Oryzias latipes: one gene and its partners. The protein of the gene in region 1 purifies or fractionates together with the protein of each later gene. This does not show direct contact. Links are inferred from orthologs where the notes say so. Each region holds a gene or a part of one and is shown in the gene's direction. Other genes may lie near its edges.

What was found.
Region 2: the proteins of ift122 (region 1) and wdr19 purify together in Homo sapiens (affinity purification with mass spectrometry; 4 studies listed by BioGRID and IntAct, counting the BioPlex papers as one, with this or other methods). This does not show direct contact. The link is inferred for Oryzias latipes from reciprocal best matches to the Homo sapiens genes IFT122 and WDR19.
Region 3: the proteins of ift122 (region 1) and ift140 purify together in Homo sapiens (affinity purification with mass spectrometry; 4 studies listed by BioGRID and IntAct, counting the BioPlex papers as one, with this or other methods). This does not show direct contact. The link is inferred for Oryzias latipes from reciprocal best matches to the Homo sapiens genes IFT122 and IFT140.

What each region holds. Positions count from the first base shown.
Region 1 is NC_019865.2:17,185,384-17,189,039, reverse strand, and holds part of ift122 (intraflagellar transport protein 122 homolog), read left to right. Parts: intron 1-1,072; coding exon 1,073-1,264; intron 1,265-1,624; coding exon 1,625-1,763; intron 1,764-2,045; coding exon 2,046-2,248; intron 2,249-2,986; coding exon 2,987-3,124; intron 3,125-3,369; coding exon 3,370-3,534; intron 3,535-3,656. UniProt on the Homo sapiens protein: As a component of the IFT complex A (IFT-A), a complex required for retrograde ciliary transport and entry into cilia of G protein-coupled receptors (GPCRs), it is required in ciliogenesis and ciliary protein trafficking.
Region 2 is NC_019859.2:13,014,181-13,017,221, forward strand, and holds the end of wdr19 (WD repeat-containing protein 19), read left to right. Parts: coding exon 1-101; intron 102-825; coding exon 826-907; intron 908-980; coding exon 981-1,131; intron 1,132-1,238; coding exon 1,239-1,362; intron 1,363-1,438; coding exon 1,439-1,515; intron 1,516-2,224; coding exon 2,225-2,339; 3' UTR 2,340-2,432; downstream 2,433-3,041. Other genes in the region: rfc1 (replication factor C subunit 1), read right to left, coding at 2,909-3,007. UniProt on the Homo sapiens protein: As component of the IFT complex A (IFT-A), a complex required for retrograde ciliary transport and entry into cilia of G protein-coupled receptors (GPCRs), it is involved in cilia function and/or assembly.
Region 3 is NC_019877.2:9,013,178-9,016,833, reverse strand, and holds part of ift140 (intraflagellar transport protein 140 homolog), read left to right. Parts: intron 1-149; coding exon 150-241; intron 242-327; coding exon 328-434; intron 435-557; coding exon 558-688; intron 689-798; coding exon 799-1,002; intron 1,003-1,080; coding exon 1,081-1,153; intron 1,154-1,277; coding exon 1,278-1,369; intron 1,370-1,475; coding exon 1,476-1,603; intron 1,604-1,695; coding exon 1,696-1,813; intron 1,814-1,902; coding exon 1,903-2,024; intron 2,025-2,115; coding exon 2,116-2,257; intron 2,258-3,322; coding exon 3,323-3,454; intron 3,455-3,656. UniProt on the Homo sapiens protein: Component of the IFT complex A (IFT-A), a complex required for retrograde ciliary transport and entry into cilia of G protein-coupled receptors (GPCRs).

The sequences.
Region 1 (3,656 bases):
CAGTGCATGAATAAATGACAGGCCCATCATTTACAAAGTGTGATACTACCTGCAAAACAATTAAACATCGTGTCTTCTGGACTATAAACTGCTACTTCTTTCCTAGGTTTTGAACCATGCGGCTTATACGAAGGTGCCGCATGGTTCTTTCACCGCTAGAGGTGCTCTAACTGGAATTAGAATCAAAATTAAGATTGGCAAAAAAGAATAGACTACACTACTTTTTCTTTAGCAGAAAGAACACGCACGACAAATCACTAACTGGTAACTAGAGTCACTTGTTGTTTTAAACACAGGAGAAATTAAGGTAAATAAATACTGGTTGTTTTCTCTTGGTTCTGTTCAGTTTTAATCAGCAAAGTTGCTGCAGTGTTAAAAGGCCCTGTTCGGAAAGAAACTGTTCAGGTACATACATGTACATTTCAGTACAATATCATCCTGCACATGCAGCAAATATCTAATTCTTCAACATAGATATCTGCAGTATATCTTTTTTTTTTGATTTATTTAATAGAGCGGATGTGGCTTATAAGAGAGTTTTTTGAAATGTATATTTTTGGAAACTTAATTGAGCTAGGGACTGTGTTTATGGTCATAATTGGCCTACAATTACTCTACACACTACTGTTTACACTACAACAGTAAGTGATACTGCTTTGCCTTTAATGCACCGCCTCCCCTTACTCATTATTTCATTTTTATGTCTCAGACTCATGTTTTGTAGTCAGTATTATTGATTTAAATGAAATTTCTGAAAGAAACAACAGCAGACATTGTTTAGAGTGACAGAAAACATGCAGGAATTATTGTGGAAGCTTCTTTTTTTTCCTAGTGAAGAAAACCAGACAACTGAGTGACTTAATTTGATGCTGATCAAAAGGACTTTGAACTCTCATACAATAGAGACTATTTAAACTAAAAAAGTCTTTTTTTTTCTATCCGGCTCAAAGGGATGCGGGAATGTAATGAACACTTTGAAGTTTGTGTACTCGGAAATTATTAGGTGTTGTCTGAAGTCTCTGAGCAATAAAGTTTTTTTTTTTGAGTCTGATGTTCTCTTTGTCGTCCTTAGATCGGAGCAGACAGGACTTTGAATTATGACCCGTGTTGTGTCAGCTACTTCTCCAAGGGGGAGTACATCGTGATGGGCGGCTCGGATAAGCAGGTGTCGCTCTACACCAAAGACGGAATGCGATTGGGAACCATTGGAGAACAGAATTCCTGGGTGTGGACATGCCGAGTTAAGCCCGAGTCCAACTGTGTGGTAGGTTCACAGCTTGTGAAACCATATGCTTGTAAAAGCCCTTTCACCCCCTCATATTATAGTGAGAAAAGAGACATCAGTGAAATGCTACACAGAAAAATGCAGCCTTTTTTCTGATGTGACAACACAGCATCCCTTTCGTGCTCAAGTACTTTTCTTTCCATATTAACACTTCAGCTGCTTTTCTTCTCACTGACAATGATGAGACATGCAAGCTAGAATTGGATTCTAGCAGATTTATTTTTCTTTTTTACCTCTGCTGTGTACATCCTCTGACAACAGGAACATTTTCTCACTCCCTCAGTCTTTTCTTAGAGGTGTTAATAAGATGTACCGCTACATTGTTGTCTTTTTATCTAGGTGCTGGGCTGCCAGGATGGGACCATTGCTTGCTATCAACTTACTTTCAGTACAGTTCACGGCCTCTACAAGGATCGCTACGCTTATAGGGACAGTATGACTGACGTCATCGTCCAGCACCTGATCACAGAGCAAAAGGGTGTGTTTTTTTGAGATTAGGAGTCTTTGCCATATACCTGTGTTAGTATAATTTCACAGTGACATGATCTCATCAAAAAAACTGAAAAACATCTAAATTACAGTTTTGGAAAAAAAAACTTGCATCAAAATCTTATGAAGCATCCAATCATAAAAAAAAAAACATGATTTGAACTTCCCCCAAAATAAGGAAGTTTTTTATTTGGGTGAACAATACTAGTTTATACAGTCAAACCTCCTGCTTTCCCGTTGATGTATAACGTGCATTTTATTTTTTGATTAGTGAGAATTCGATGTCGTGAGTTGGTGAAGAAGATCGCCATCTACAGAAGTCGCCTTGCCATCCAGCTACCTGAGAGGATCCTCATCTATGAGCTCCGCTCCGATGACTCCTCTGACATGCACTACCACAGCAAGGAGAAAATTTGTCAGAAGTTTGAGTGCAACTTGCTGGTTGTGTGCTCCCAGCACATCATTCTGTGTCAGGTCAGAAGTGGCCTGTATTATTTTTATTTTGTATTCAGTCAAAAAGTAAAGTAAGAACCTGTTTTTGTCGTTATTAGAGCTTGTGTTTTTATTTTTCAGTATATTTTATTTTGAAATGGTAAGGCTTCTCAATTATAGTTCTTGAATCATGTTACTTGGTGAGACAGGTAAATTAATCTGATTGACATTTTATTGTGCAGAAGTCTGATACTGCTGCACCATCAGATGAATGCAGAGCAAATCAGTTTTAGTCATTAAATACCCAGCGACACTGCGATTCGATCGCTGTGTGCCCAGATGGTCCACTTTCTCGTGTCTCTTCTTACCACAGAGAGTAAGACCGTTTCAATAAGAGGGAGGAGCCAAAAATGGATACTTTTTAGGGTTCTTCTTGGTGTTAAGTGGCTGACAGAGGCTGTCAGCAAGGAGCGGCAGCTTTTGTCGGTGACAGAGGTGCTTCAGGTCTCTGCTGGAGCCGCTCATGTTTCATCTCTCAGACAGTTTGTAGACATTATATAGTGGCTGTGCTCACACAGGCTGTTAATGCTTTCAGTAGATCAGATTATTGTTTATGGCTCTGCTCTCTGAGATTGTTCCACCATATGCAGCCTGTAAAAGAACAATACGTCTGAATGTTTTTTTAACCTTTTGTGTATAATAAAAACTTTAAACAGATAATTTAATGAAAAAACAACATAGAATATGAGCATGTTTGACCAGCCAGTGTTGTATTTGCAGGAGAAGAGACTCCAGTGTCTTTCCTTCACCAGCGTCAAGGAAAAAGAATGGGTGATGGAGTCTCTAATTCGCTACATTAAAGTGATTGGGGGTCCACCAGGCAGGGAGGGCTTGCTTGTGGGATTAAAGAACGGGGCTGTAAGTATTGCCAAATGGGAGTTATTTTGGTAAATGCTAATTCACACACTGATGGCGGCGCCGCTGCCAAACACTGGCGCCAACCTCCCACCAGAGGCAAGGTGGGGTTCAGTGTCTTGCCCAGGCGGGAATTGAACCTGCAATGTTACGATCATGAGTCGACCGCCATACCGCTGCACCACGGCCGCACATCACACACAAGTTTTGCATGAAACCATGCTATAGTGTGTTTTTTTTTCTTCTAGATCCTGAAGATATTTGTTGACAATCCATTTCCCATCACACTGCTGAAGCTGTCAACTTCCGTGCGCTGTTTGGATATGAGTGCCTACCGCAAGAAACTGGCCGTGGTTGACGAGCACAACACTCTTCTAGTGTATGACATCAACAGTAAAGAGCTCCTCTTTCAGGTTTGGAAGCTGTAGATATAATGATGGGGGAGGAGAACAACTTGAGCATGCAAAGAAATGTGTAGATGAACTGAGTGAAACCAAAAAATTCACATATTTTGCATCATTTTTTTACAATTCTC
Region 2 (3,041 bases), on another chromosome or scaffold:
TGCTGTTCAGCATGTACACCGAGCTGCAAGCTCACAAGATCAAAATCCCTGCAGAAATGGCCACCAATCTGATGATCCTGCACTCCTACCTGCTGGCCAGGGTAAGGGGTATGGGTTTCTGTTCTTTTGGGGGGGGGGGGGGGGGGGCAGTTACTTACACACTTAGAAGTCTGATCCATCAAATGAAATCATTATTTTATTTTCTTCCTGTGACCCCCAAAAGGGACAAAACAGGTTTAGAAGATGAATGAATTTTATAAAACACAGACTTTCTGTAGCTTTTTGTTGGAATTCCTATTCTTTTAGTTCACCTTCAACTTATGTTGACTTTATTTCACTAGTTAAAAAAAATTTTGTACAGAAAAAAATAGATTTTGATGGAAATTTGAACAACTTTAATCAAAGCGTCTCAAATAGTAAATTCAATCAGAAACACTTGAATCAAAGGATTCAGTTGAATTGGCAGATAGGCAGTCCTATTCTATTCCTACATGGAATGAGTCATTTTTCTTTTGGGACCCAGTGTTGCTTAAAATGGAGAGACATCAGAATAAAATTTGTTTACTTGTTTATGAGGAATCAAATCAGCACAAACCAGAAAAAGAGTCAATTTCTTTGGAGCAGCTACCAAACTGTGATGATGTTCTTTTGATGTAAAAGAGTTAACCTCTCTTACTGTCGGAAATGCATAAACTAAAGCAAAAGCTTCATTAAGATCTGGTTAGACTCCATCTTTACTGGAATTAATGCAACTAACAAGATAGCAGCTGATTCTGAGCTGCAACCCCTGTGTTTTAGCTGCAGTTATAATGTGTTTTTCTACAGATCTATACAAAGAGAGGAGATCACCTGAAGGCGGCGCGCATGCTCATCCGTGTCAGCAACAACATTAGCAAGTTTCCAGCACGTAAGTCAGATAAAAAAGTCACTGACAAATCTAGAGGCTGCTGTTTAGCTGATGCTCTGGTCTGTTTGTGTAGACGTTGTTCCAATTCTAACGTCAGCGGTAATCGAATGCCAGCGTGCCGGTCTAAAGAAATCCGCCTTCAGCTTTGCTTCCATGCTGATGAGACCAGACTACAGAAACGATGTGGACCCGAAGTTCAGGAAGAAGTTTGAATCCCTGGTTCGGTGAGCAGCCGAGTGATTACGGTGTAAAAGTGTGATGTTGGTACCTCGTCCTCCATGTGATGTTCCTCACACTTATTTACTGGCTGTCCTGCCCGTCTCATCTGCAGACATCCACAGATGTCCGAGCTGGATGAAGAAACCACTCCGTGTCCTTACTGCGGATTCCAGCTGCCAGAAAATGAGCTTCTGTGCATCGCCTGCAAGAACAACATCCCCTACTGCATCGCCACGGTACAAATGCCCCATGCCACTTGCTTTTGCTGCTTTAAGACAGTTCTTATTAAATAAATAAATAAATTCCCTTCAGGGTCGTCATTTAATAAAAGAAGACTGGTCTACTTGTCCGCACTGTGACTTTCCTGCACTCTACTCACAGTTTATTCTGTAAGTACCACTTGAAAACAATGTTTTATTTCCTCCAGTTGTGAGTAAAAACAAAGTCGCCATGAAGGTTGTTGGTGAGTGTAACTGATCGTCTTTCCATCTATTTATAAAAATCCCAGTGCTCTTTTAATTATACTTGTGCCGTTTTTAGCCAAAATAAAAAAATCCTACATCGTTTTGCCGGACGTAGTTTCCGCAGAGCGGCAGGGGCACATTTGAAAATTCACCTGAGTTGTGGGCGGGACGGCTGGTAGGGAGCAACCCCGCTCCTCTTCCCAATGCTGAGCTCTCTGAGTGGGGAGCTTGTGGCCTGCCCAGCATATTTTCTACATCACCAAAAGGCTTTTTTTCAAACTGCATTTTTTGTCTGCTCCTGATTCACAATGCTTTGAATATACAAGTATTCAGAAATACTACCTCAATTATTATTTTTAAATATCTCCTCCATCATCAGAAAAACGCTACAAAAGCAAGTTAAAAACAGTAAAAATAGCATTTTTATCAGAGTGGGTCTTTAACATTTTATTCAAAGCATCTGCACAAATCTTAGCTTTGATATTTTCATTTAGCATAAGCAAAACAAAAAATGATGTAATCTGTCAGGAATCAGATTACCTCTGACCTGCTAAATGAGGACCATTTTTTGGAAACCCTGTTCTCCTCCTTTTAACCGCGCTCGTCTCATTTTCTGCCACGGACTGTGCTGCAGGTTCCTGGAAACAGAGACAGCCTGTCCCATGTGTTTTGAAAACCTGAGTGCGAAGGAGCTGAAGAAGATCCCGGATTGTTCCAAATACCTGCAGACCAACGAGCTGGATCCATGACAAGACAGGATCAGTGCGTCTCAGCTGTAGGACTTCTCAAATGCTATATTTTATACATGTACTCAAATTGTAATAAATCGCATTTCAAAATTTCACAGCTGCCCCTCTTTATTTCAAATAGGAATGGTCCATTGTTCTGTAAAACTATTTTGAAGCAATAAAAACACAAACCATCATTAATGTGCAGAAAGTTATTCTTACAAAAAAATTTTAATTTACAGGTAACTGTTGCTTCTACAAAGGTCAGACATGTTTGGAGTGAAAGTGAACAGTCTTCATTATTTACATGCAGACAGCAGGAATGCAAACGGAACGACAGCAGAAAGGCTCCTGATAGGACAGATAACTGCAGCTGCGCAGACATGATGATGAGCGGATCGCCTACTTATTATAGAGACGTCTCAGGTTTAAAATTAAAAAAAAGAAATGGTGAAAAATGCTTCTGAAGTCATTGTTCTGAATAGCTGCTGAGTTTAGGGTCAGTTTTGTTCTTTGTGGTTTTTATTAAAGGTGCAGAGGAACAATTGTCCATGAAGGAGGATCAGAGGAGTTCACTCTCCTACAAAGGGTCATTTCTTAGCCTTTCCTTTTCCTTTGCCCTTGCCTTTGCCTTTTCCAGAATCTTCCTTCTGGGTTTTGGACTCTTTAGTGGTTTTGGTCTTCTTCTGCTGCATGACAGGACACACGGGTCACCCTGCAGCA
Region 3 (3,656 bases), on another chromosome or scaffold:
TTGTTTAAGTGATTTAAATCAGTGTTTTCCTTAGGAAGGTCATAAAATGCACACAACAATGTAACAGCAAAGTCAATGTTTACACCATATTTGTTGGTGCTTTTAGCCTAGAATAGATGTTGTGCTTATTACTGTACTTTTCATGGCAGGTTAAGCTGAGTAGCAAGTCTGGGCAGAATGTCGATATTGTGTGGACAGAAAACAACCTCCTCATTACAGCAACAGGGGAACACATGATCAGGTTGGTTTTTCACGTGCTATGTTTACCTCCATACTTTGTTTTGGCTTAAGTAATCATTTAATTTAGCTTCTTTTCATTTTTTTTAGGCTATGGGACTTGGATAGAGATGACAACTACATTTTGTCTCTCGATGAGACATTGGGATTTGATAGAGGCGAGCTGATCAATTGTGTGTCATACTGTTCAGCAAAAGGTAACCCATTAATATTTGTTACATACACACTAATTCTATAAATTATTGCTTAATAATTTTTCTTTGAAAGGTACTTAGAACCTGAGTTGATTGAGGTTTTGTGTTCATATTTTTGAATCCTAGAAATTCTTGCTGCTGGTACCTCCAATGGACGCATAGCAATGTGGAAGAAGTTCAGCAGCAGATCAGACACCAAGACTCAGTGGAAATTACAGACACCCACTGAAATAGAGGGAAACGTTACACAACTTCAGGTAGTGTCCAAACAAACTTTTTAGCAACACACTCATCTGACATGGAATAATAAACAGGGATGTAGCATGGGCAACATTCCAAAAGTTTAACCAGTCCTTTAAATTTGCAGTGGGGCTGCAGCTTGAATCTGTTGGCTGCAAACAATTCAAAGACGGTGCTAATCCTCTGCGAGCATTTGATGTCTGCCCACTTCAGTCAGCAGGTGGCAGCAGTGCAGCTCAGCCCAACACAGCTCAGCATCTCTAACTTTACCACAGGGGTGCACCTTGCTCTCCAGTCTGACATGCACATCAAAGGAGTTTGTGTCACCAAGGTAAGAGCAAAGATGTCAGGCTTCAACTGTATTGCAGACAAAGCTGATTCTATCATCACTTCTTTGTCTCACCTGCAGGACTCTGTAATAGTCTGGAATGGCAAATTGATTAATGTGTACGAGCTTTCTGGGACAGCTTTGCACAACACAGGTAGAGTACAAACCAAAGCAACTAATGAGCGTTCCTATCGGCATGTACAACAGTGCACTGTTCTGTTTCTATGTGTCTGCCTCACCCATTCTCCCCTTTCTACTCTCTCTTCGTAATTTCCCAGGATCCTTTCTTTGCGATTCCCATGTGGTAGCCGTGCATGACGAGAACCTCTACACAGTAGAACCAAACAAGTTGCAAATCCGAACACTACAGGTCTGAGTGCACCACTTCAAAACGGTTGCCTAATAGTGAATGAACAATGATTTAGAATTGATGTAGCTCAAAACTTGTTTGAACATATTTACTCTGTTTCCTTCAGGGCACGGTAAAACAGCATTTATATTTCTCGAAGGCAGAAGGGAACCCCATGCTACTCAACGTGTGCCAGTCTTACCTGGTGGTGGGTACAGACACGGCACACATCCAAGTTTTTGACCTTTCCAGAAGGTACAAGTATCTTGCCTCCAAAATTCCTTTTAGAAACAAAAGCACTTCACCTGCATCGATGTCTTGACTGACATTTCATTTGTATGTTGTAGAGATGCCAAAGCTAATTGCAAGACTAAGAATTTGGCAGACCACATTGCTAATCTGGGAGCCTTGAGGTCCGTCAAGTGTAACTCCAGTGGCTCCTACATCAGCATCTTAATCTCTCAGGTTTACGAGAACATTCCCTTTTCCACTTAAATTTAAGAGGAAAAAATATCTGGTGCTTTTCTCTGAGGATTGTAACACCTTTTTTACAGGTTAATGGACGACTGGACCACAAGGTGTACTTTTATGACATCGAGATGGACACTTTGACACACTTTGACTTCTTTACTGGCAGACATTCCAGCAGTATCTCCCAACCAGAAGAAAGTGAAAAGTATATTAATGGACTTCTTTTTTTAAATTCATAGTTTTTTTTTTTTTTAGATTATTTTATTTACAAATATCTTCGTGTTTGTATTATTTAGTCCCAGACAGGAGTCTTCTCACAGTGAAGTAAGTGGTCGCTACCCCGTGTCTCACTTCTGGGATGAGAGCGAGCCTCGTCTTTTTGCGTGCGAGACGGTGCCAGTCAGCTCGGAAACTTCATCAGAATCTTTCTTGGATATGGTAAGAATAAGTTAGTCAGGTGCAGATCTTTGCTACTAAACAATAATAAAAATGATCAAAATATTGCGACTAAATTTACACAAGCAAAAGGTAAAATTTATTAAAAAGTAATGTGAAGGTCCACAATCAGTCAGCAGCAGTCAGGTTGTTTTGCTTGGAGGCTGTTTGTTCCTTTTATTCTTTTTTCTCCCTGTTTAAAAAATATAATAATAATACAAATAATAATAAACAGAGATTCTTTGTTCATAAAAAATCATTAGGGCCTAAAAAAAAAGAGAAAGAAACAAAATGAATACCCCAAAAGTCCACTTCCTGGTTAACACACTGGGGAAGGTTTATAGCTGCAGACAAGTAGCCTACATACAACACACAAGGAGGGGTTAAACCAATTCATCAATAACAAAAAATTATAAAGGACAATTAATAAAATAAAAGTATAATTGATCATTAATAATTAATTAATAAAATATACTGCATAATTTAAATCTCCAACATAAATCAGCTAAATTAATGAAACCTCTTGAGACCTGGCATCCACATATGAAGACATCATATGGGACTGTGGAATGAAAAATCAGACAAGACCGCGGGTCTCAAGACTGTAAAACACACTTTATAGTGTCCATAATAAAAGACTTGACTTCCCTGCTTTGGTACATCCCAATCTTCTTCAAAATGTGTCAATGGTAGTCACTTGAAGTGAAAACTCCAAACAAAACAAAGTAAATAAAAGGTTTTTTACTAAAATAAATAAAATGTGTGCATCTATTATAATACATTTTTTTAAAATTATTTGCGTTTTTATACCTATTATCTATGTAATAGGGTTTAATACCCTATTATTTACCTCACTGTTTGGTAGATGCAAAACATAAACATTTCTCTCAATAGCATAGATTAATGTTCAATCACGAAACATTTTACTACATGATTGCTTTTAGAGGCTTTTAAAGAATCTATTCTCTATGAAATTGTATTTATTTACTCTCCAAGAGTGTTCAGTTTTTTATTAGGACCACTTCAGTTTAGGAACATATGACACCTAAACATCTTCTCTTCTCTCAGGCGGATGTGTCCGTTGTGACACTGTTTTGTACTCAGGAGGATGGACTCCTTCTCCACGATTACTACCTGAAACCTTTAGGCCTGCAGGCCCTCCTCGCTCTGGATGTGCCTTATTATTATTACAGCTGTAAGGTGAGGACAGAGATAGATCTGCTCCGCTCATTTTTATGTTGACATGTTTGTTGGGATTTTGTTGACGCCCACCATTGTTTTTTATGTGAAATTGTATGTTTGGCCCAACACACCCTAGCTGTTATTTCGGAAAGGTGGTGTCTTTCGACCGGATGTAAGTCTTTTCCCTGAAAAAATGTTCAAAAAAGCTTTAATGTTGCCT